Linked DNA regions of Oreochromis niloticus. The protein of the gene in region 2 purifies or fractionates together with the protein of the main gene of each other region. This does not show direct contact. Links are inferred from orthologs where the notes say so. Each region holds a gene or a part of one and is shown on either strand. Other genes may lie near its edges.

Region 1 (12,420 bases), on a different chromosome or scaffold from region 2:
CAAAGTAATGATTTTAGATGGCAATGACATGCAGGAAGTAGCTTTAAAATAGAGCCATCATTATAATATTCAGTATATTGAACATCAACAGCCAGACTCTAACTAAACAAATACTCAGTGTCAAGACTCATATTACAGAGTACTTCTGCAGGGTGTTTGTACAAGTTGTGTTATTTTTAAATGTAATATAAAAAATGAAAAACTGGAATAAAATTCCACTTTCTAGCTTTATGCAATAATATGCAAATATAGATTCTATACAATTATGCATACATAAATGATGCATACAGTACAAATTTTTGGTAAAAATGGGCCAATATGCGTGTGTGTTTTAATTCCCTTCCCTCATCCCCAACCAGTTGAAGCAGATGGCTGCCCCTCCCCTGAGCCTGGCTTTGCTGGAGGTTTTTTCCTTTTAAAAGGGAGTTTTTCAGTCGTGCTGTTGCCGAGTACTTGCTAATAGCATTTTGTCTGATTGTTAGGGTAGGTATCACTAGGTATTGTGAAATAAGTAAATACAGACATGCTGCTAAAGTATGCCTGGAACTGTACCTGGTGTAGCACATGATCTGGTTGCTGTGTGTGGAGTCTCTCTCCACATCACAGGGGACTGACAGGGTGTTTGACACCAGGGTCACACGGTTTCCAAACATGTCGTCTACTGGATTCAGCTGGAACTGCCGCTCCTGTGCAAAACCTGGAAGAAAAAACAGGGGCAACATAATCGTAGAAGGTAATTGTTTTTGAGAGTCACATCTCGTAGCATCATCCCACCAGGCCAGCAGGCACAAGGACTCTCAGGACAGTCACAACTGCATTAACAAAGCTTCTTCAGCTGCATCTTTTAGCTACAGAATAGCTTAAAATGGACTTATATCTCACAATCCATCATAACTTGTTTTACAAAGTAAAAGAATGCCCACACTTCTTTTTAAATTTACTTGTAAACATCATTACGGATCTCTTACCATCTCCTTGAATAGTGAGTCGTGTGGCTCCATTGACGCTTCCTCTGCGTGGCGACACGGAGGTAACGCGCTGAGCATCTGTAAAATTGAATTAAAACAACATGAGAAATCTTTTTTCCTCTCTATGAACAGCGAGCTAAAAAACTGAGTTTAGAATAGAAGTTGTTGTTTGTTTTACTTTACTTACCGCAGCAACACCAAAGGGCGAGGAGGAGAGCTGCGGCCTTCCACTTGACCTCCATCCTGAAGAGCTCCCAGGTTACTTTCCTGCCTCACCTGCGCCCCTCTCTCGACCAATTGTGAATCACGTGACACAAAAGTACTATTTAAAACAAAAGTATTATTGACATTTATTGACAGCCATAGAATAAATTTATGTACTAAAATATACAATTATTTTAAAAAATATTATTTTTAAAAATTGTATTTTCCATTTTCCAGTGTGACATTTATGTGAACAAAACTCACCAGCAGTGAGAAACCCTTTTTAACCTCTTGACTGGGAAACAGTGTGAGTTCAGGGACGCGCACTACCTTTTTATAACGTGCTCAGGGTCCCGCCCCTCACCTGAAACTGGGAGGAGACTGGAAGAACATTTTGCCGCATTTATCAGATTTTCAAGATGTCTGCATTTAAAAACAAAACGAAAGTGAGTCAAAAGCGTGATAAATAATGGCTCCATGAACACGGAGCGTAATGATCTATGAAAATGTGGAGAAAGAAGTGGAGCTATAAAAAGCTAAAGTTTGCAAAGTTATACACGTTTTGCATTTGTTGAGTTTCAGTAAATATGGCCTTTGTGTAGCCTTTGACTTTTTCACACCACCGTTTCATGACTGCTGGATTAAATTTGCATTAAAGTGCAATCATTTTCGCTGTGCACAATGTGCTCTTGAAGTGGTCTTCATGTTATTCTGTCCACGTTTCATTTATAAAACACATCGTACAGTAGTGCTTCACATTAGCCCTTTCAGTCTTTGAGTGTTTGTAAAACTGTCTGTGATCATAACAATGATAAATAAAACTCCTTGTGATGCTTGCAACCTTATATTAATTGCAGATTTCCTCTTCAACTAATTTGTGCCTGGAACCATAAAAAGAAAACAGATCTAAAACTGGCAAACAGTAAATAATAATAATAATAATAAATAATGTCAAACATAGTTCACTGACAGATTACAGACCAGTCTCTTGGTGACCCTTTTTCCTTTAGACTATGTCTATTTAAAAAAATCCAAACAATGCATAGAAAGATTGCCTAATTAAATTCACCAAAGTGGGTGTAATATTCATAAATATGAAATGATTCGAAGGGTGTCCTCATGACTTTACAGATGGAATCACGAATGCCAAACCGCTGTTTACCTTCAGATGCCTGACATCAGAGAAATATTTCAGCATGATAATCATCCAAAGCACATTGTCAAAAATCACACGAGTGTTTCAAGAACAAAAAAACAAGTTGTTTCAACTATTTCACCTGACTTAAATCCAACAAAACACCTTCAAGGTATTTAAAAGAAATGTAAAGTAACAAACCTCTTCCAGATTGTTACCAAATTGTCTTTGAGCAATGACGTGACGTTGTTCTTCAACACAGGTATTCTCCATGTACACCTGTACAGCTTTGTTGTGATTGCAGGGGATTTTAACAACAGCAGTTTAAAGACTGCTCCCTAAGTTCAAGCAGAGGTATGAACATGCTGGACTTATAATCAAACCCCCACCCCCACCTCACCCACTCTGATCACCTTTCTGTTACGCCTGAGCCTGCTTACAAACCATTCCTGAAGCGCAGCAGACCAGTGAGAAAACAGACCAGGATCTGGCCAGAGGATGCAGCCTCAGCACAGCCTCAGCACTAAAAACTGCTTTAGGAACACCGGGTGGGGGGTGTTCAAGACAGCAGCCTCGCAGGGAGACCAGATAAACAATGTGGAGTACGCAGAGGCAGTAAACAGCTACATTGCTAAGAGGATGTCACTGTAGTTAAGACCTTCACTGCACGTGGCAACCAGAGACCCTGGTGGAGGATGAGACTGCTCTCCGTGTGGCCAGGTCTGCGAGGGACACCTCTGCGAGACAGGAAACACCAGACGAACGTGGCAGGGAGTACAGGCACTGATGAATTCCAAACCCATGCAAGGGGTCAACAAAGATGACACTTCTTTTCCGGACAGGTTTAATAACTTCTTTGCATGCTTCCAGGCATCAAACTGAACATACAGAGGGAAAGTGGGTTCTCCATTATCTGCAGGGCCAGCTGTTATCATAAGTGCAGCAGATACCAGAGGACCCTGGCCAGGGTCAACCCACGGAAAGCTGCAGGTCCAGATAACATCCCAGGACATGTGCTCAGAGACTGCACTGGTGAGCTGGCAGATGTCCTAAATGATATTTTTAACATCTCCCTCAGTCAGGCCACCGTACCCAGATGCTTCAAAACATCCACCATAGTGCCAATAGCAAAGAAACCAGTTTTATCTTGTCTAAATGGCTACGGGTCCGTCACATTGACAACAATTGTGATGAAGTGTTTTGAACAGCTTATCAAACCACACATCACAGCCACCCTTCCTGCATTAATTGACCTGCTCCAGTTTGCTTATCATCCTAACCACTCCACAGAGGATGCATTAACCACCACCTTGCACTCAGCCATCACCCATCTGGACATATGCCATACTCCTATTGATTTTAGCTCAGTGTTTAACACCATCATTCCACAGAGACTACTAGAGAAACTCCACTTACTGGGGCTGAACACCACACATGTCTTGGGAGAAAGATCTCCAAACCCACCACGCTGAGCGCTGGATCTCCTCAAGGATTTGTTCTCAGGCCGGAAGATACAGATCCAGCACACTCCTCTCAGTATCAGCGACTGCCCAGAGAGTGGAAGACATCAGGTTCTTGGATGTTCAGATCTCGAAGGACCTGAGCTGGGACAAGAGCATCTCAGTGATCACAAAATGGGCCCAGCAGGGACTGAATGAAACAAGCCTCTGTCCCCTCCAGCATCCTCAGGACTTTTTACAGAGGCATGTTCTACGGTATATCAGCGTGGTGTTCCAGCTGCAGTATGTCAGACAAAACAGCACTGCAGAGGATAGTTAGAGCAGCTCAGAAGGCCCTTGGAGTTTCCCTCCCCTCTGTCTAAGACCTTTTCAAGAGCCACAGCAGGAGCAGGGCACTGAAAATCATAAAGGACCCCTCACCCCCCCTCAATTCTTTGAACTGTTGCCATCAGGCAAACGGTTATAAAAGCCTCCAACAGCTTCCTCCCACAAGCTGTTAGAATGCTGAACTGTTGATTTGGTTATGTACACTATCATACCCAGGAGTCTTTAGAATTAGTTTTAATTAGTTATCTTTCTTACTCAGTTCTTTATTTATATAGTTATCTTTTTTTTCTTTTAAAGAGACTATTTTACAGTGATGCGTCTGGGATGCATGTGTGTCTGATTGTGCAGGGCAGGGTGGTTGCATGATGTTTGTGTGTGTTCTAATATTTTTAAGACCCTGAACAAACACCCTTTCATTTTGCCTGCACTACGGCAGTATGAACAGCAGAATTGAGAATTTAACATTTAACAAGCTAAATGAGGCCTGTAGAGTCTGAGATGTAGCTCATATATCAAAGTTTTATATCAAAATTTGCTGGGATGTCTCCATTACGTGTTTTCCACTTGTGACTGACTAATCTTTCTCACTGTAGAATGATGAGCTTCAAATTATTTAGAAATATCCTTTACAAACTTCCAAGACTGATGGGCAGAAACAAGTGCTCTTCGAGATCATTGCTGATGTCCTTCCACCTTGGCACTGCATTAACACACCGGAAAGCTCCAGAGCAGGGAACTGCCAAAACTTCTACTTTTATAGAGGTGCTCACACTTGCTGATGATCAGCTATTCAAGTGCATTTGATTAGCAGCTACTTAGCCTCTTAATTCCTATGGAGGCAGTAATGATGTACTTTTTTTCACACACTCTTTTTGTATTTTGTGCAGCAAGTTTTGTTTTGTTATTTATCTGAGATAATATTTATCTAATTTCAAGACATGTTTAAGACCAGATCATTTTTTATTAACTCCTGATCCGTAAAACCTACTGCCAATCAACATTATTACTTCTGGGTGTATTTTCTCAACAACTGTAAATAATTCAAAGTTTGAGATGCAATTATAAGTTTTTGGTTTTTCGACATGGGCGACAGACTGGGGACCTGTCGAGGGTGTCCACTGCCTTTTTCACTAAGACTTAATCTGTCTGCACTTTTGGGTTTGGATCAACCAGACAGGTAGCAATTACAACAAGAATGACCAAAATAGGCATGACTTTATTTTTCTTCTCCAAAACTGCAGCATAAACTAAAAATCAATATGAAAACACACAATACAAAATAAAATTAGCACTAAAATGAACACAATAAACAACAGTTTGGATTTCACTCGTGGATCAACAGTGAGTAAAAACAAACAAACAAACAAAAAAGGGAATTGTGTCATTCACAAGGTTGCATGTTGAGCTAAAAAAGCTCTGATTCTCTGGAGGAGTTCTTTCTTCACACTGTCTGGTACGAGTGCTGCAGAGGAAAGAGATGAAGAGATGAAGAGAGATTAAGTCAGAACACAGAATAGAAACTTACATACTCACACAACACGATACTTTTATTGTCAGAAGTTGTCATCCTGTCAGCTGTTTCTAATATTTTTTCTATGTATGTTATAATGTTGGCCTGGTAGATAAAATATGACTTTTAAGAGGCACCAGCTCCCTCTACAACTTCCTACGAAGCTCAGAAACATTTCCAGAAATCACCATGCCATGCACGAATAATGGTTAATATCCAATATCCAATATGCACGAATAATGGAAAATGATCCAGAAACACTGCCATCTTCTCTAGGCTAAAGCTCATTTAAAATGACTGAGGCATCTGAAAGTGTTCTTCAAATGGGCAGTAAATGTCCAAAGAAAAACTCTGAAAGACCTTCAGAAGGTCTGAAGAACTACTACTGAAGACCAGTTTAAAACAGTTTAGAGAAAATACAGCATCTGGCTCCTTGGAAGAAAAATATAAAGAAGTGAGGGGTGGTTCAAGACTGTATATCAGGGAAACCTGAAATCGTAAGAGCTGTAATCAATAAGTAGTGCTGACCTACAACATTAGCAGTTTGTTAGTTAGCATGCACAAAGATGTATTAGGGATAAAGATGATGTGCAGTGCTAAATAAATAAATTGACTTGTACATCTAAATCAACGAAGCAAATGAGTATGCTCATCACTTCTAACAGTCTTCCTCCCCCTGCTGTTGTGTTTGAACATCTGTACTGTACCTCTGCCTTTTGGTGTGACCTCTGTGACCAGGTCCTCCACTGTGACATGCTCCAGGCCCTTTTCTCTGATCACATCTGGCTCAAACGGGAGGTAATGACTTTAGTGACTTTTGTTTTTATAGCACCACGACATCATCGCCGGACACTAACATAAGCACAAGTCAAATACCTTTGCAGTGTGCTTTCAGCTGATCCTTCCACCCACACTCCACCAGCTTCGCTCTGAGCAACTCTTTCAACCTGCGGCCACACATTTAATTCACATTATGTGACTTAATATGTGCAATTCAAAACCACGCCAAACCATCCAGCACCAAATCACTGCAGTGAAAGACTCGCTTACCGCTCCCGTTCCCCCATCTCTATCAGCTTCTGGTTTATTGCAGCCCTCATCTGGGAATCTTTGCTCATGATCCGCCTGAAATTAAACACACACACCGACACAGTCAGCTTGGACGCAAGAGTATAATAAAAACATATATTATAATGTCTAATTTAGCTCCCTATCAGGTAGCCGCTACCGTTATCGAGAAGGATCAGCTGGGGAACATAAGGTCCCTTTACACAACGGAACCGTCTAAAAACGTTTAACGCTTAAAAGTTCCGGCTTTGGAGTGGTTAATCTTTCAACGTCAACCTGAATAACCAATGATAGTCTCATTAGTGTTCAAAATACCTGTTTAATGACGAAAAATATAATACAATACATTTAAACTGAAAACACTAAATTAAATCAGTTACTTAAGCATTTCAAGAGAGATTAGCTCAGGACTCAACTTCCCCTGCGCCCTGGGAGGTTTTGTCCGCCGTAAAATAGCTCCGTGTGAGAAAACAATGACGAAAACACAGGAAACGTGTATCACGCTGGCTACACATCACCCTCCTCCTCTTGCTGCACACAGGCTGTCATCAACTTGTGAATAAGCCAGTCTCATTGAAAAAGACATGACTGCGTCTAACTACTCATTGAAGGTCAACAGAGACCTGTTGGACCCAAACTTTGAGAGTTACAGGTTATCCTTGGACGCCATACCGACGTACAACATAGAGCTGGATGCTGGTGAGAAAAACTTAATGCAGTGCAGTTAGCAAGTGTGCTAGCCTAGCCCTGAGAAAGGTCCAGTATAACTTCTGTCCAGTATAACACTAAATAGGAATAGCAATGTAAGTTATTTGAAATTATCTCAGACATTTTATTGGCTGTCACTACGTCACGACGTCAGCTGTTGATGCTACATAATATTTTGGCAGCTGTATCTGTAGCTCAGTGGCTCACAATGAGATCTTAAGGTCCACCACTGTAACCTAATGAGCTTTCACACGATCACTAAGAAAAATCTGAACATTAGCATAGTTTAAACCACTGAAAATTAACAGATTAACGCTGAAGTGACTAATTACTACAATTTGTTCTTCATACACATACATAACTCATTTATATTGCCAGGACAAGTCAAGTGCACCAATCTTAAATAACTTAAAAACAATCATAGGGATGTTATAAGGTTAGTTTTGTAATACATGTTTTAACTTCAAGCTCTTAACTTCAGTTTGAGCAATACCAAATTAGTGGGGCTGCTGATCCAGATATGTACTTTAGTGATTAAAACGATAAGGGATGGAAATAGAGCAGCATTTTTAAAATTTTGCATAATCATATACCAAAGCTTGCTAATTCCTTTTAATCGAAACTCAGGCCAGCTGAGCTCACCAGAGTTGCATCTAAGTGTTTTCTACTACGTCTCTTATCCAGTTTATAAAACAGCTAGTGTGGGTCGAAAATCAACAATCTATGAAGTTTGTACCTAACAGGAGAATTCATTATAACATTGGTTTGGATACAATCTTACTGATATAAAAAGGTGCTTACACTTTGCACAGACATCCACTCACAGTAGATTCAGGCATGCATATTACAAGGTGATTAATGTGCTTTAAAAAAAAAACACGATACTTTATTTAGTGGGAACAATTCAGACAAATAGTAGCTGTAAAAAATAGTTAATTGCAGTTTTTTGTCACCGATAGTTCATCTTAGAGTAAAATGTTGAAATATTAAGATATGTTAAGATATATGTAACACTTTCCACAAAGCAACTGTAGGAAAGGCAGAAGGGTAAACTGCTTTTTAAGTAACAACATAAATAACAGAAATTTGATTACTGCCGTATTTAATCTTTTCTTTTTCATATCTGCCGCAGCCGTGGAGGAGGTCAAGCTGAAGGACACTCAGTACACCCTGGAACATATGCGTGCCTTTGGGATGTATAATTACCTGCATTTAGACCCCTGGTATGAGGACAGTGTTTACTTTGTGGACTGCAAAGGACGGGTCCTCAATCTCACCGTCACTCTGGTGAGTTTGCAAATCCTCTTGTTTTTTGGGGTTATTTTTGGAAGTCTATATTCCTCGGCCTGTTTATGATTGTTGCCCCTCCATTGATGTCTAAGGTGTTTTCACACCTGCACTATTTTCTATGTGATGATGCACATTGTTCCACACACGAACATGGTAATTGTGCTTGCAGTTTTTCCTATGCAAAAAGACACCAAACAAACAAAAACACAAGTATGTAAGGTCATCAAGTGATCTGGAAGAGAACATCAAGGGTGAAAACACCATAAGAGAGCAATCACCGATCTTAATAAAAAATCTTTGATATTCATAAAACTAGCTCCTAGTGCCAACATTTTTCTTAATTTCTAAGAATTTCTCGCTAAAGTTACAACTAAATCTTGAAAAGGTGAAAGTTATTCACAAAGCATTTGCTTCTAAGATAAAAAAAACTGTGTGGAGTGAAAAGAAGGACTTACTTAGGAGTTCCTTAAGCAGAGGAGAAACTGGCAGAAAGAAGAAGCTTTGCCACTTTTTTTTCACCCTGTTGATTAAATAAAATCTTTGCGCTTTGCATAATAAGGTTAATTTATCTTTTTAAGCGTTAGAGGAATACAATTTGATGTAACACTTAAGACAAACAGAGTCTAACATTACACTGTGTGGTTAATTACAGCTGACTAATGGTAGTTAACTTGCCAGCATAATAACAGTGGTTTGGCAGCTGTAGAAACAAGCCACAGGTCAGTCTTGTGCATACATTAGTGCCATTAGTCTGTGCTCCAAATTCAGAATAACAGTGAGGTGATTAAAGCTGCAGGTTACATGTTTCATGGGTAAAGACTGTAGTCAGTATTCTGTTACATCTAATAATAAACTCAGCATTGACAAAATCATCATCACTAAAGTGTTTTGGAGCTGGAAAAATGCAAGTTGGGTCTGCCCAACCTTCATCAGCAGAGCAATCACGCAGATAGCTTTCACAGCCTCATGCTGTGAAGCAGTTTATTTTATTTTTCACATCTTAGAGCGTTCACAGACATGATGATCTCCCTCGTATTATAGCAGTAAATCATAGAATCTGAACAATTTTACTTATTATAATAATTTAGATCAATTATTAAATTTACCATCATGGCAAATGGATTTAACCTGAAATCTAACTCTCACCATGGGAATTTACGTAATCTGAGAGTTTCCTAAATCACAAGTTTGGAGTCTTTGCAAATGTTTTTAGGCAAATTTAGGAGCTCTTTGTTTTACAGTGTTGTTTTATGTTACCATTATATAACGTTTCATATTATGGGCCTGATGTTGTGATGGTGTATTCAATGAAGGATTTTTATGCGCCTGATGTGCCAGTAGGTGGTGACCAAACACTTGAGCATCAGCAGGTTGAGGGAAGAGAAAGGATGTCTGTGAAACACAAGAGTTTTAAAAGTTATGTTAAATTATATAATATTATTTCTAACCTTTTTTTTCCTTGGTCAAGATGCAAAATAATAAACGTCAGAATAAACGTGGCTCTTAGTATTTAGTCTGAAACACAACTTTCTGTGCAGTCTTTTGTCTGTCGTATGAATCACCCGAGCACATAAAGTTTGGATGAGCCCTTGTAGGTCTCCAGTTAATCACAGGAGCGATTATATAATTGACTCAAGGTTCTGATTGGTATTGTTACCCCGTACCAAGATGTTGAGATGAGGAGCAAAATCGTTCTCATGACCTTTTCAATCGAGCCTTCTTTTATGTCTTAGTCATCATTGACCATAATTAGACATAATTGGTGTCTCATTGGAGTTTTTTTTCTTTGATGATCATCACACTGTAATCCTGCGAGACAGTGTTTCTGGCTTTCAGTGGCACCATTAAATGAAATTTATGGAAAAGTGTTGCTCAAATTCTAATTACAGTGATCACATGATAATTATCATCCTTCAGCCTTTTGTGCTCGGTTGCTCGGCACATTGCACATAGAGGTTTCACACTCCGTTTCAGGGCATTAACGACACGGATGCTGGAGAAAGTGATACCAAAGGTGCATCGTACATTAGATAGCGATATAATGTGCCGTGCCACGCTCCATGGCAACAACGGGGTTGCTTCTCCACAGTCCTTTTGAAAAACGGTGTCTTCACTCAATTTGTGATGCTCATGTGGTGGCATATCTATCTATTACTAATAAGGCTTTCAGATTGTTGAATCACACGAGTGGCCACATGACAGCTGCTAACTGTCCCTGATGGGTACATGTTTTCTCTTACTCATTGTACCATTCTTTAGATTATAAGACTTTAGACAATAAGAAATTAATGCAAAATCATTTGGACTTTATATCTTCCACCCAGATACTTACTGTAAAACTCTTATGGGATGGAAGCAGCAACCTGGAGTTGAGCCGCCTATTAAACGTCTTGTGTTTGAGTCTTTGTGATTCATGACTGTACTACTTATTGTTTGATTGGATGTTAGCTGTAAGAATGCATGCATCACATATTTCCCAATATCCTACAATAGTTTCTTATGCTAAACTGAAGTGGTGACAAAATCAGTTTTGCCATGTTGTTCTCCATCTATAGCACTGAAATGAGCTTACTTGATATCCAGTCATTATTCCATTCATCCATCCTTCCTCCCCTTAACAGTCAAAGCAGTACAGTAATTGGTGTTAACATATTATAAATGTATTTTTTTTGTTTTAACTGGACAGAACATGCACTTTGACATATTAAAATAGGCATTTTTCAGTTGTTTCTTTGTTTCATTCTCATACACCAGCACACTGAGATTTCCTCTGCAGATATGAATGAATCTAAATGGCCTAATCTTTTTTTTATGAATGCAGTACTGGCTTACGGGTGTGTTGTGTTCTGAATTCAGGACACCGCCCTGGGGAAGCCGAGAGAGGTCTACCGTGTAACCGTCGAGTCCAGCCAGTGCGAGGATCGTCTTTGCGCCTCCCTCAGCCTGACCTCGGCGACCTGGGCAGCTCTGTCAGATGGTAGCGGTCGACTGTACCTCCTCCGCACCGGCAAGAGGGGAGACAGCTCCCATATGAAGTGGGAAGTAAGTATAGATGTTCTGTTTACTGCTGTAAGTGACGCACAAACGTGTTTGAGATATTTTTTGCCGTGGAAGTGAAGGTAAAAAGACACAAACCTGAATTCCCTCCGTGTACTATTGTAATACTGGTGCTGCTTTTTCTTCTGCTTTCTTGGCTTAACACCACTAATTATTAGCATTTGTAACTGACAGTTGTTCAGTCAGTTAGTCACTAGCTCATTGGCGTGTTCACAGCTGTCATAAATTAGGTCAAAACTGGGCGAGATTGGAGGTGTTTTGAATGTCCAAATATCTCTGATGATGTAATTTTGAGTCACTAAATATCTTTGTCAGTACTGCACAAGAGAAGCTGGGTTAGTAGTCAGTCAAAAGATAATTAGACATTAATTATTGGGCATAACTTGACCTGTTCCTGGGCTCTAATGTACCTGTGGTCCTAGTTGAATAATTGGTTAAGGAAATGAGTGGATTAATATAGCTTCGGCCACTGGTTGAGACACTTCTGCTGGTGACGGTAATAAACTATATAAGAGAAATGGACGTAGCTTCTTGGTCTAAAAGGAAAGCCAACTTGGTCAGCAGATGGTGGCCTTTCAAAAAGGATTCCAGTTAAATAAAGTATTAGTTGACTGGACAGTCGGTACCAGAAATACTGCTTGATTAAATGTGTTATTCTTAGCTTTGTCAGAATAAACTGGAATACAGTACAAC
Region 2 (12,731 bases):
TTTTCAAATTAGTTCTTCGTTGACAGGAATTTCACCTGGCGTGGTCTTATGCCCCTGTAGCCCTTGTACTTCAAAGTTTGATGTATTTTGCATTCAGAGATGCTTTTCTGTGTTGACTGGTTGCATTGAGTGGTTATTTAAGTTAATGTTGCCTTCCTGTCAGCTCGAAGCTTCCTGGCTATTCTCTGACCTCTGACATCAACATGACATTTTCACCCAGAGAACTGCTGCTCACTGGATCTTTTCTCTTTTCACACCATTCTCTTTAAACCGCAGTGATGGTTGTGTGGGAACATCCCAGTAAATCAGCAGTTTCTGAACAACCATTTCATATTCTAAGTTACTTAAATAACCTTTCTTTGCCACTCTTGTGGTCAGTTTAAGATTAAGCAGGTTGTTGTGTTTTGCTAATTAAAGGTCAAAATGAGTGTTTGAAGAATGAAGTGATTGTTGATTAATTGATTAGTAAAAAAAAAAAAAAGTCACTGCCTTTGTGTTTTAAAATGTGAATATATTATGCTTTTGCTAATTTTCTTTAATAATGAAAATAATCCTTTTTTATTTTGAACTCAGAATGAGTTGATTAAAAACAAGAATTTTATAGAATAGACAATTTTATAGTTCAGAAAAATTGCTGCAGCATCATATGCTGCAGCAGGATGTCATATGCTGACATCCTGCCCATCAGTTATCCCAGTTATCCCATAGCAATGGGACAAACCCATAGCAATGGGATAACTGGATAATTATTTGTCAGTGAATATGAAACCATTAAATGCATTTTGACTGAATTGGTTCTAATGTCATCGCTTTCTTTCAGGTGCGTTGGATGACTTTGAGAAGGCGTCCGTCCCTCCAGCCCCTGAACCTGCAGCCGCTTCGTCCTCAGCCAGCAGTGGTGCACAAAAGGTGCTTGCGAAATAATTTAGAATAGAATGTTTAGAATAGAAGGCCAGCAGCAGCTTCCGGTTCAGATTTTTCTGCCTCAGGACACGGAGGAAGTGCGGCCGCTGCTGGGCCTTCTTTACCGGGGTGATGGTGTTGTGGGTCCAGGTGCCCAGAAACCTGAAGGTGGAGACAGATTCCACCCGTTCTCCATTTATAATCAGTGGGGAATGGACCTGTCTGTGCCTCCTGAAGTCCATTATGAGTTCTTTTGTTTTAAGGACGTTTAGCTTCAGGTTATTTTCTAAGCACCAGAGGGACAAGTTCTCTACATCCGTCCTGTATGCTCTCTCATCTCCATCAGAGTTGAGTCCAACCATGGTGGTGTCCCGGTGGCAAATTTTTAAATAAAAGTTTGGCTAATAGTGAATACCAATACTTTTTTTTTTTTTTTTTCAGTTTTTTCAGAATCAGAATCAGAATCGTGTTTATTGGCCAAGTATATGTGCAGACAAATACAAGGAATTTGGTTCCGGTAGATGGTGGCTATCAAGCACAGCAATGTAAAACACACACACACACACACACACGTCTATATATACATTACACATGCATACACATACATACACAAAGCTGTGTAAACCAACTATAAATAACTAAACTTATATACATAAAATACAGAAATGAAATGAGGTGGAATGAATACTACAGAATGTACATAAGGTGCAGTTGCAGTCTGGCAGTGGGGAGCAGTGTGACAGGTCAACTGTTTAGGAGGGAGATGGCGAGGGGAAAGAAACTGTTCCTGTGTCGGGTGGTCCTGGTCTGCAGGCTTCTGTACCGTCTGCCAGAGGGCAGTTGTGTATTACTGTTGTGTATTCCCCATAATGTTAGGAAAACTAGGAAATGTTGATTTTAAAGAAAGAACTGAGACAATTTGAAGTCTTTTCAGTCCTTCATCACTTTTTTTTTAACATTTCACCACCAAAAAAACTGAGGTCACACAACAGATAAACATCGCAACTTTCTTATTTCCTGATATCAGTAAATATCAGTATTTGCAGATGGCAATATTTGACTGATAAAGCAGTGCTTTTCTGTCTTTTTCTGTTAATTTTCTATCCAAAACTGCAAACTAGAAAGTGTCGGTGTTATTTTAGTTTTGAGCTTTCAAATGTTGGTTCTTTTACTATTAGGAAGCAAGACTGCTGCAGGTTTACATCAAGTGTAAGCTAGAGTCGGGTCTAGAACATAAAAACAAAACAGTTTCAATTCAGATGGAGTGAAAAGAAGAACATCTCCCTCAGTTTTTCCTTATTTCTAAATAAGGTATTTTGGGGTTTTTTTCTCTGCCTGTCTCAGCCCCCTTTGCTTGAGGACTGTAAGCTCTTCGAGACTCTCTTTGAAGGGGACATGGCTGCCCAAGCTAAGGAGGAGTGGGAGAAGGCCATGACGGAGCTGGCTCAGGAGGAACCGGAGCTTCTCCAACACTTTCAGAAGCTATCAGAGGCTGCGGGAAAAGTTGGTAAGATATAGGCTTGTGTTGACTATGGTTTACTTCTAGTCTTCTGCCTATTTTGGCTTTTTGGCAAAATACTCTGTTTATTCTGACCAGGTACTGACACTGCCTCCCAACAAGAATTCACTTCCTGTCTTAAAGAAACCCTTCAGGGGCTGGCCAAAAATGCAGACAACCTGAAGGTGGGTCAAGCTGAAATTGTGCAAATATGATGAAGGTTTTGCATATGAGAGCAATTTCATAGTCTGATTGTTTTCTTGCAGTCTTCGGGACTAGCTGGAGATGACCTTGTCAAAGCACTAGAGGGCCTAGGGTTGGAGGAGGGTGAAGGTGGTGGTGGTGATGATGGAAACATCCTGCCCATCATGCAGTCCATCATGCAGAATCTTCTCTCTAAGGAGGTGCTTTATCCATCCCTGAAGGAAATCACTACTAAGGTGTGCTTTTGGTTTTATAGCAGACATTATATTCTGCAGTATCCCATTCAGTAATTGTATTAACTGTACTTAATTCCTGCAGTACCCAGAGTGGCTGGAAACCAACAAACCGAGCCTTAGTCCAGAGGACTACCAGCGCTATGAGCAGCAGGCCAAAATCATGGGAGACATCTGTAAGCTCTTTGAGAGGGAGGAAGAGGGTGCAGCAGATAAAGAGAGCACATTTGAGAGGATCATGGACCTGATGCAAAAGGTGATGCAGCACTGTCTCTTATCTCATACAAACACCAGTTTATGTGTAGAGTGAAACTGGTAACTCATCCTGTTTCTTTTACCAACAGCTGCAAGACCTTGGACAACCACCCAAAGAGCTAGCAGGTGATGCGGTAAGTAAACACACCATTGTGTGTTTGACCTCGCTGTACAACTAAGATTTCAGGGAAAGAAAATGTGCTGTAATTTGATTGTCCCTTTCATAACAGAACTGCGGTTGATGTTTTAATCTGAATTTTATGTGATTTTAAATGAGCACAAATATTTATAGTTCTTCCTCTCTTTTTTTTTTTTCTTCCTCTCCAGCCTCCTGGCTTTAACTTTGACATGGACTCACTCAATCTCCCTGGAGGCCCTGGGGCCGGGTCAGCCGAGCAGTGCTCCGTCATGTGATGAGGGTAGTGGCGGTGTCCATCTGAAGCACTTGAGCCGAAGGGTCGCTCTGTGTGTGTCAGCAGCGGGGGAGAGTGACAGAATGAGAAGCAAATGTCAGGCAGGAGTGTGACTAATCCGTCATCACCGCTCTCCTCCTAAAGAGTAAAGTGTGTGGAAACAGAAGCAACATAAGGAATCACAAACAACACAAACACACATATTCTTCTCCATAAAAATCATGGAAGGCACAACTAAGAACATTTGGACATCTTTTCATTAGCAGCTGCCACAATTCCTTCACACTTTAATTTTAGCAGAGTTTCTGTAAGAAGAAAATACCACTGGCCTTCTCAGTGTTGTTTTTACATACTGTTTAACCTTATGGTAATTTACATCAAACCACTTCACGGGTATAAACGGTGCCTTTTCAAAGTGACTTTAAGTTGTTGTTTTTAGGTTTCATTAGAACGTGAAATTTCATCTATTATTCAGCTACAATCGGAGTTAAAATGGTCTGAATTTGCAATAACATCCCAAGTTGACACCAAGTGATTGTTTTCCAGCATTTCACTTAAGCTAAAAGCTTTAACTTAGAAAGTTTATGGTTAACATGCTAGAAAACTATGAAAAATGTGTACATTTGTTAGTTATTTAAAAGATTAAAACAACTAAAGAGGAGTGAAGCCCTCATAAGAGATTTCCTTTACCTCTTAAAACTAAGCCAGCTAATTTAATAAGACCCATTTGCTATTCCTATTTCCAAAATATTGATTTGAAGTGATTGATGATTCCTGGATGCCTTTGCTGTGGTTGAAGTGATCATTATAGTGTAGAGTAACTGTGCAAAGTGCTTCCCTGTGATTCCCAGTGTTTTCAATGTGCAAAATGGTGTTTTCCTTTTGGCATGGGGTCTCCGCTGGGAAACAACAATCACCTGAGGTCATGAAAATAAACCCTATAAAAGTGCGTCATGTTTGTTCCAGAGAGGGCGACAGACAGTGTAGTAAACATCACATTGTGTTTCGTGAAAGGGAGAGAGAAAGAGGTGGCTAATACATGGAGATGCGCTATTGGGTAAGACATCAACAACCTGATGTTGGCACTTTCTGGCAGTGCCTGTCGGGTTTGTGTAGCGGATAACAGTTGACTTCTGTAACTGTAGAGAGAGATCTAGATATCACACGACCACCAGCCCATCAGTGACTGTATAATAAAGGGTTCTGTGAAAGGAATCAGTCAACCATGCACTGAGAAGAGATGCGATTTACATCAGCTGAGGGGAGTGCTGCTGCAGAGGTTTACAGAGACCTGTGGTTTCATCCCATTGTGGGGTGGGACTCAACTCTCAGGGCCGATGCAAATGTTTCCCACAGCACCGTTAAAAGTAATAAAAAATAATGATGATAATAAAACTTGTTTTTGACACTATTCTTCTGTAAATATATAAAATAAAACTAATGATATACTGTAATTGTTCCCGGTGTGATTTTTGTCATTATTTCTTTCATACTGCTTATGGAACATGAGTAGAAATATTGTGTCATAATCAACTGCATTAAGAGAAGTTTTACTATAAGTTTACTGCACTTCAGTTTGTCTATGCTGTAGTCATGACTAAAGCTATGGTCATTTTATAAAATATGCTGCATTACTGGAGAAAATCTGTAGTAAATGAAGTAAAGGATTTTTTAAAATTTAAATTCTCAAGTAATAAATAATAAATTATAAATTTATATACACTCATTTTGAACATGTCACTGTAATTTGGGGCTTTTAATGACTTCTTTTACAATGTCTTTAACATGACAAAACCTGTTAACATCTTATTAGTAATCTTCATTGACTACAGCTGGTAGTTTCTCTTTGTCAGCATGCCACTCAGATAAAGATTGAGTTATTTGGCCACAGTGATAAAGGGTTTGTTTGGGGGATTAAAGGAGAGTCTTTCAAAACACTGTACCAACTGTCAAGCGTGGTGGTAGTATCATGCTCTGGGGTTTTTTGCTGCCAATTGTATGAGTACACTGGACAAAGTGGATGGAAAAATGAAGAAAGGGAACTAGTTCTAAATTGTTCAATGTTACCTCAAATCAACAGCTAGACATTTGAAACTTGAAACACGGTTGGATTTTCCAACAGGACAGTGATCCCAAACACACATTAAAACTAAAATAGATACAACAGGCTTCTGGAATGGCCTTCTCAAAGCCCTGACCTCAACACTCTTGAAAATCTGTAGACTATGATTATAAGCACATGCCATGAAACCAGTCAGCATAAATAAATTCTACCAAGTCTGACAATAAGAGTTCCATCCAGTAAGAATTATTCTGACTGTTTTTAAAGTCATTAAAGATGTATGATGTCCTATAACCCAAACCTGGAAAACGAACAGGTCAAAGAAATCACTAAAAGCCCCAAATTACCACAACCTTCATGCCTACAAATGCGTGTGTGTAAACTTCTGACCACAACTGTATTTTGAGACGTTTAAAGAGGAAAGAATTGTGTAGAAGTCCACTTTCTTTTTGTTGCAATCCTAGATTATTGATTTTTTTTTTTTTTTAATCCAGTGGAAACGCATTACTTCACATTACAGGCGCCCCCGCGTGCCACGTATTGTGCCTGCAGCAGATGACGTCATCAAATTATAATTTGCAGTCGGATTTAGAAAAAAAGAATTTTAGAATCGTTTATGAAGAAAACAATCTTAATCTTAATTAATTTTTTTTAATTATGAATTTCTCACTTTAATCTAATAGAATTTGTGAGTTCATGACATTGACATTTTAAAGAATAACCTTTTTGTCTCTTAGATTTTTACCGCTTTTTTAAAGAAACGAACGACTCTTTATCCGAGTACGTATATTTATTTCATACGTCTAAGGAGTGCTTGGAAATATACAGATTAGATTTGTTATGACGGCATTTAGTCGCATATGTCTTGTCTATGTGTTACATTTCTACGCGCCGCTGCCGTGGAACTTTCTGCGTCAGATTTTCGTCGCAAAACTTTATTGTTCAAAACCGGAAGACAAAACGGACTACGTGTCAGGAAAAAGGAGAATCAACTAAATGGGCGAAGGTGGTCAGGCCGCTTGATTCAACATATCTGCAGAGTTTAGTCCTTTTTAATTATTTGCTCTGGCTGAGTTTTGTCTCAGCATTAAAAAGAAGACCTTTGCGGTTCACCAGTAACGATGTTAACAAAATTTGAAACGAAGTCGGCCCGTGTCAAAGGTAAGAGTCTGCTAGCTACTTATTAGTAAAGAAGCTAACGTTAGCTAGTTGACGTTATCGTCCTCGGTTGATTATTCATTCAGAGTTGTCTCTTTATTCTTGTTTTTAAATAGATTTTCCTCCGACTGTCTCTAACTAATTTGTCGTTATAGTGTCTTATTCAGATGTAGCGATAAATGGACAGTAGTTGTACGTGTCCTTAGCTGTCCGGCTAACATCACTTTGCATGTTTAAAAAACCGCTGTAAATTAGGATGATGCTGGTCGTCTGAAGTGTAATAGCCTCTTCTGTGAGAGATCTGACGAGCTGTTTTACATTTCAGGCCTGAGCTTCCATCCCAAACGGCCATGGGTTCTTGCAAGTTTGCACAACGGAGTCATCCAGCTGTGGGACTATCGGATGTGTACACTTATTGACAAATTCGATGAGCATGACGGTAAGACGGTGTTTTAGCTCGAGTACGCTGCTTTAGCTTACAGACTGTGTTATTAATGGAAGTGAGGTGTGATTTAATGTGGTCTCTCACCACAGGTCCTGTCAGAGGGATTGATTTCCACAAGCAGCAGCCCCTGTTTGTGTCTGGAGGGGATGACTACAAAATCAAGGTGGGACTGCTGTGGCATCAACACTCTCACTAAATGTCATGAAGCTGGATAAATGTTGTTTAAGTGCTTATTTTTATGTTTCTTTGGTTTGAGGCAGTATCTCATACTCAGGATTTCTAATATTTTGCCTAAACATCTAAGGTGCTGCCATGTCTTAATGCACTACTGTAAAATGAAACCTAGGTGAGAGCTGAGTAAATGTTCTTTTTGTGTACAGGTGTGGAACTACAAGCTGAGGCGCTGTCTCTTCACCCTCCTTGGGCATCTTGACTACATCAGAACCACCTTCTTTCACCATGTGAGTTGTCCTGCTGTTTTAACATAGAAAATGGACAAGTGACAAATTAAAGGAAACCTTGAACCTTTGACTCCTGCAGTGACTCTCCTATTTTGAACTACTTGTGCAAATCAATGGAGATATTCAAGATGATCACCTTTTATCCTGTGAAGTGCTCTCTTCCAGAATGGCCTCCACCAATCTGGCAATAGGATTCATTAGATTAAATTATGCAACTTGTATGCTATGGCTTTTCCAGTCACCAGATCTTAGCCTATCATTCAAGATAGGATAGGTTGTCTCCAAGTCCACGGGAGAAATCATTAGTTTTATTTGTGATGGTGGAGCACTGTGCAACGCTAAAGCTGGGATTCAGTACAGTACTACATATTATGGTAAACACTTTGTCTTTAAGGGGTTTTAATTTATATTGTCACCCCACTGGATTAGTACTTCCTTCTGTTTTTTTTTTGTAATTTATGTTAGAACAATTTAGACTTAAGTTATTTCATTAATTGTCACCTTGCCTGTAGGAGTACCCCTGGATTCTGAGCGCTTCAGATGATCAGACGATTCGCATTTGGAACTGGCAGTCCAGGACGTGTGTCTGGTAAGACACTGTGTAAAGTTTAAACTGTTGTTTCTCACAACTTGCACATAGTTAGGCTGTTTAATTGAGATTTTAAATAAACAGAGGAATGAAAATTGTTAAAATTTACCATAATGAAAATGAATGGTCTGCCCTAATTTCTTATGTTTCCTATTTCTTTCTTCTCTGCAGTGTGCTGACTGGCCATAATCACTACGTGATGTGCGCCCAGTTCCACCCATCTGAGGACCTGGTGGTGTCGGGCAGTTTGGACCAGACTGTGCGAGTGTGGGATATCTCCGGTGAGGGCCTGGGGATGGCAGACCAGAGGACAGCGGGCTGGGTTTTGGGGGAGGGGTTGGGAGCAGAGTGGTACAGATGAGGAGGAAGAAAACAGGAGCAGGACCGAAGTGAAGTCCTAAACCTCTTCTTCCTCTCTGACTTGTAGAGGATAAAACTCTGTGGGCTGTTTGCAGAAACACCTCTCTTTTGATAGATGGTGAGAGAGTTAGATGCAGTGGAACAAATTTATGGTGTGGTATTTATTTATTTTTTTAATTTAATACTACACTGTAAATAAAAGCTCTGAAAGGAGAAAGGCCTTACAGATCAGATAGATGCACAGTGAAAGGATAAAATCCACATAGATGGATAATTGGAGAGGTGTTTCTGTGCCTGTGCATGCTGTAAAAATCTTGTGGTTTTTCTTTCTCCTGTTTCTTGTCTTTAGACTAACTGCACTCATTTGCTTTCACTTCCTTTCATGTGAACATGCATAAGTTCTAACATTCACCAATCCTGGGTTTATGGAATTTAACTTAGTTTTTGGATTGAGCATGGTTGCATCCATTTGTACTTTTTTTTTTATTTTTTAACTTGTCTATCACATGACTTAACTGCAGCATGTGTTTTCATTTTTTTATGATAAATACATAGTATGTTTATGGGCAGGTTTAGCTTTAAGGGGTTACTTTGAACTCATACTCACAATATAGAAAATCCATACTGCTTTTGCATCCAAACAAAAACATTAATTGGTTTTAAAAAAAGTAAATCTTTTTTTTATACACTTAAACTTTCTGGCTGTCCCATATTTCTATATGACCTATGACATTTGCACGACTGGCTCTACTATTAAAAAAAAATAATAATAACATGAAATATACTACAGGTTTATATTTCCTGTAGTCATTGCAACTTATTGGTATCATCTTCATTCCTAACCAATAATTGTGGCATTTCAGACTATACTAACTGCACGTCATTTAAACATTGTGACTGAAATGTGCATGAGCCTTTAAGAAAGCAAACTCCAAGACTCATAATCCTGATACTCAACGCCCCATCGAGGCTCACCTTTACAATGCTAGCTACCACCCACTCCACCTCCATCAGCCAAGTCCACACACTCCCTGTGTCCTCCTTATCCCATGCTCTCCCTGGAAACATCCACACCTGCACATGGGTTCCTAGTGTCATTTCTGTTTCCTGCGTGTCATCTCTCTCTGTGCTGTTGTACTGTCTGCTCACCACATTGTTTTAACAGGCAGGAATCATGAATACAAGCTGTGTTTTCTCCATCTTTTTTCATTTCCTGATCTCACTGAGTCTCTGAAATAATCAGCTACCTTGCTCTGCTATCCATCCAAATCACAAGTGATTCCGATTTCTTCTGTAAGATGATGATTAATTAAACCAATCAAAGCATGGCTGCAGGAATGATTGTTTCCAGACTCAAGCTGGCAGTCAATGAGAAAGCAGAGGTTGTGTTGGTGTGTTTCAAACCTGTGTGTGTGTTCAGTAGTACAACAGTGCGCTGTGTTTTTAAACCCCCCTTTTTGTGGCCTCGCTTCTCCAATGATGATTCTCCAAATTTGATATCTAAATAATATGTATCTTGTTTTTCCCCATGTTCCGATCCTCTACTGTGGTTGTGCCCTGTGTAACTTGATTATGGCTCCCCCCTTTGCATGCGGTGCTCTCTGATGGTTCCAGGTTTGAGGAAGAAGAACCTGTCTCCAGGTGCTGTGGAGACGGACGTGCGCGGCATCTCTGGTGTTGACTTGTTTGGTGCCTCTGATGCTGTTGTTAAACACGTCCTCGAGGTGAGAAGCAACTTTGTACCTTTTGTAAATGTTGTGGTCGTTTGAGTGAATCAGCCTTTAAAGGTTACTGGGGGGAACCTTCATTTGTTCCTGGTATCTCATTACAGGGAAATGTCCATTCGTAGTCTTCGGCTCACATATTGTTTGGATGTCCTTTTTGTTTTTGTTTTTTTTCCTTTTACAAAATATGAAATGCATCCTTTAGAGTGAAAATATAGAGACAAGTTCATTGTTAATGAGGTTCTCCAAATCATCAAAGTCCATGATGCAGTTCTGTCTGGAAAACACCACCTTTTAGCCCGAGCTAGCAGTTGAATCTGTGTTTTAAGGGGTATGTGATTACGACTTAAGGTCAGAAATATTCAGTCATAAAAAAAAAAACTACATTGCTTGGGTTTTGTTTTAATGTAGTATTTTATGGTTTCTGTGTGATATATTATTTATTTAATGGTACTGAAACAGCTTCTCAGAGAGTAACACAGTTTAGTTTCATATAGAACGATGCTGTGCTATGACAGCTGTTTGTGTGACTTGAGGTTATGTTTATGTTCAGGGTCACGATCGTGGGGTCAACTGGGCAGCCTTCCACCCCAGCATGCCTCTCATTGTGTCTGGAGCTGATGACAGGCAGGTGAAGATCTGGAGGATGAATGGTGAGTGACTTTACATGAGCGTTAGAAGTTGATGTTCACGGAAACGAAAACCCCTGACTTTTCTGTTATGTGCCAAGAAGTAGGTATTTCATCAAGCTAACTACTTCACTAATTGTTTCCTGCTGTAACTGTTTCTGCTTGTTTTTTGTCTTTAATCATGTCTCATTTTTTTGTTTTTCCCCCCGTCTGTGTTCAGAGTCCAAGGCATGGGAGCTCGATACATGCCGTGGGCACTACAACAACGTGTCCTGTGCCATCTTCCACCCACGCCAGGAGCTCATTCTGTCCAACTCTGAGGACAAGAGCATCCGGGTGTGGGACATGTCCAAAAGGACTGGAGTACAGACCTTCCGCCGTGATCACGATCGCTTCTGGGTGCTGGGTGCCCACCCAAACCTCAACCTGTTTGCTGCAGGTAAGTGCTGACAGTGATCTGATCAAAACAGGAACATTAACAGATTTTCAAGTTCAAATATCAATTTGCAACGTAGTTGTTTGGTTAGTTTTGAAGCTGATCCTTTGCATATCAGGGAAAATTTGAAAAAAAATGATTTTAATGGTTCTCTTAAGTTCACATGGCCTAGTAGCAGGAAATGTCTGCCATGTATTTCCTGAGGAGGGGAAAAATACAGTGTGTACGTGTGAAATTTGCACTGACGGATGGTTTATTTTGTGTCTTTAAGGTCATGACAGTGGTATGATTGTGTTCAAGCTGGAGCGTGAACGTCCAGCCTACGCCGTACATGGCAACATGCTTTACTACGTCAAGGATCGCTTCCTCCGCCAGCTGGACTTCAACAGCAGCAAAGACACGGCTGTTATGCAGCTGCGCAGGTGTGGTGTGCACAAGATAGCATTTTGAGTATACGAATACTGTACATTCACCTCTTTATTTCTGCAATCAAAAAGAAATTGGTCTAAGTAATTGTGGCTAGTGCTTGTTTTTGTCTTTCGTGGGGTTTTTGGAGGGTTTTTTTTTTTTTTTGTTTGTTTAAACAAACAAAAAAAATTTTATTTTAAAACCAAAATAACCATTTTACCTGTTTTACCTTCTCCTTAACTTAGTGGGTCTAAGTTCCCAGTGTTCAGCATGTCTTATAATCCCGCTGAGAACGCTGTCCTGCTCTGCACTGTAAGTGTCTCTTAGTTAAAATGCACTCGCACACATTAATTACTTACTGCTCAGTTAAGTGTGTTGGTTCGCTTCTGTTTATTGAAATGCTCTTTACCTCCTGCAGAGAGCAACCAACCTGGAGAACAGCACCTATGACCTGTACTCAATTCCCAAAGAAAGTGACTCTCAGAACCCCGATGGTAAAAAAACAACAACAAAAAACCCACTTTAGTTATGTTTTTTCTCACACTCTGTAAATATTTGTTTTGTTTTGTTTCTTTACTTATTGAATGTAACTATATGCCTCCAGTTTGTATCTCCTTGAATGAAGTAACAAGAGGCTGTCTTTTCTTTTTTAAATTCCAGCACCGGAGGGGAAAAGGTCTTCTGGTCTGACAGCAGTCTGGGTGGCCAGGAACAGATTTGCTGTGTTGGACCGTATGCATTCTGTAAGTGCATATGAAAGTTTACAAAGTAGTGAAATATATATACGAAATTCCTTTTTAAAAGATTTTTTGAAAAGTTGGTTAATTCTATAAAAAGAACTGAAACTGTTGATCAGTAAATCATTTGTTCTTAACAAATGATCGATTAAAGGCAGTCTGGCATGTTAATCTCCAACTGAAACAATCAAGAGTCCATTATGTGACTTGTGCAGC

What was found.
Region 1: the proteins of copa (region 2) and nudcd1 purify together in Homo sapiens (co-immunoprecipitation; 3 studies listed by BioGRID and IntAct, with this or other methods). This does not show direct contact. The link is inferred for Oreochromis niloticus from reciprocal best matches to the Homo sapiens genes COPA and NUDCD1.

The regions. Positions count from the first base shown.
Region 1 is NC_031985.2:12,074,075-12,086,494, forward strand, and holds the start of nudcd1 (nudC domain-containing protein 1), read left to right. Parts: upstream 1-7,122; 5' UTR 7,123-7,256; coding exon 7,257-7,371; intron 7,372-8,512; coding exon 8,513-8,667; intron 8,668-11,526; coding exon 11,527-11,712; intron 11,713-12,420. Other genes in the region: pkhd1l1.1 (PKHD1 like 1, tandem duplicate 1), read right to left, coding at 553-697, 969-1,046, 1,156-1,210; transcription and mRNA export factor ENY2-2, read right to left, coding at 5,480-5,556, 6,312-6,386, 6,481-6,551, 6,655-6,722.
Region 2 is NC_031982.2:26,258,781-26,271,511, forward strand, and holds the start of copa (coatomer subunit alpha), read left to right. Parts: upstream 1-6,511; 5' UTR 6,512-6,689; coding exon 6,690-6,729; intron 6,730-7,051; coding exon 7,052-7,165; intron 7,166-7,260; coding exon 7,261-7,334; intron 7,335-7,551; coding exon 7,552-7,632; intron 7,633-8,144; coding exon 8,145-8,221; intron 8,222-8,392; coding exon 8,393-8,502; intron 8,503-10,195; coding exon 10,196-10,305; intron 10,306-10,858; coding exon 10,859-10,958; intron 10,959-11,154; coding exon 11,155-11,373; intron 11,374-11,641; coding exon 11,642-11,792; intron 11,793-12,023; coding exon 12,024-12,090; intron 12,091-12,196; coding exon 12,197-12,272; intron 12,273-12,438; coding exon 12,439-12,521; intron 12,522-12,731. Other genes in the region: pex19 (peroxisomal biogenesis factor 19), read left to right, coding at 821-909, 2,248-2,410, 2,501-2,586, 2,668-2,841, 2,924-3,094, 3,183-3,227, 3,421-3,507. UniProt on the Homo sapiens protein: The coatomer is a cytosolic protein complex that binds to dilysine motifs and reversibly associates with Golgi non-clathrin-coated vesicles, which further mediate biosynthetic protein transport from the ER, via the Golgi up to the trans Golgi network.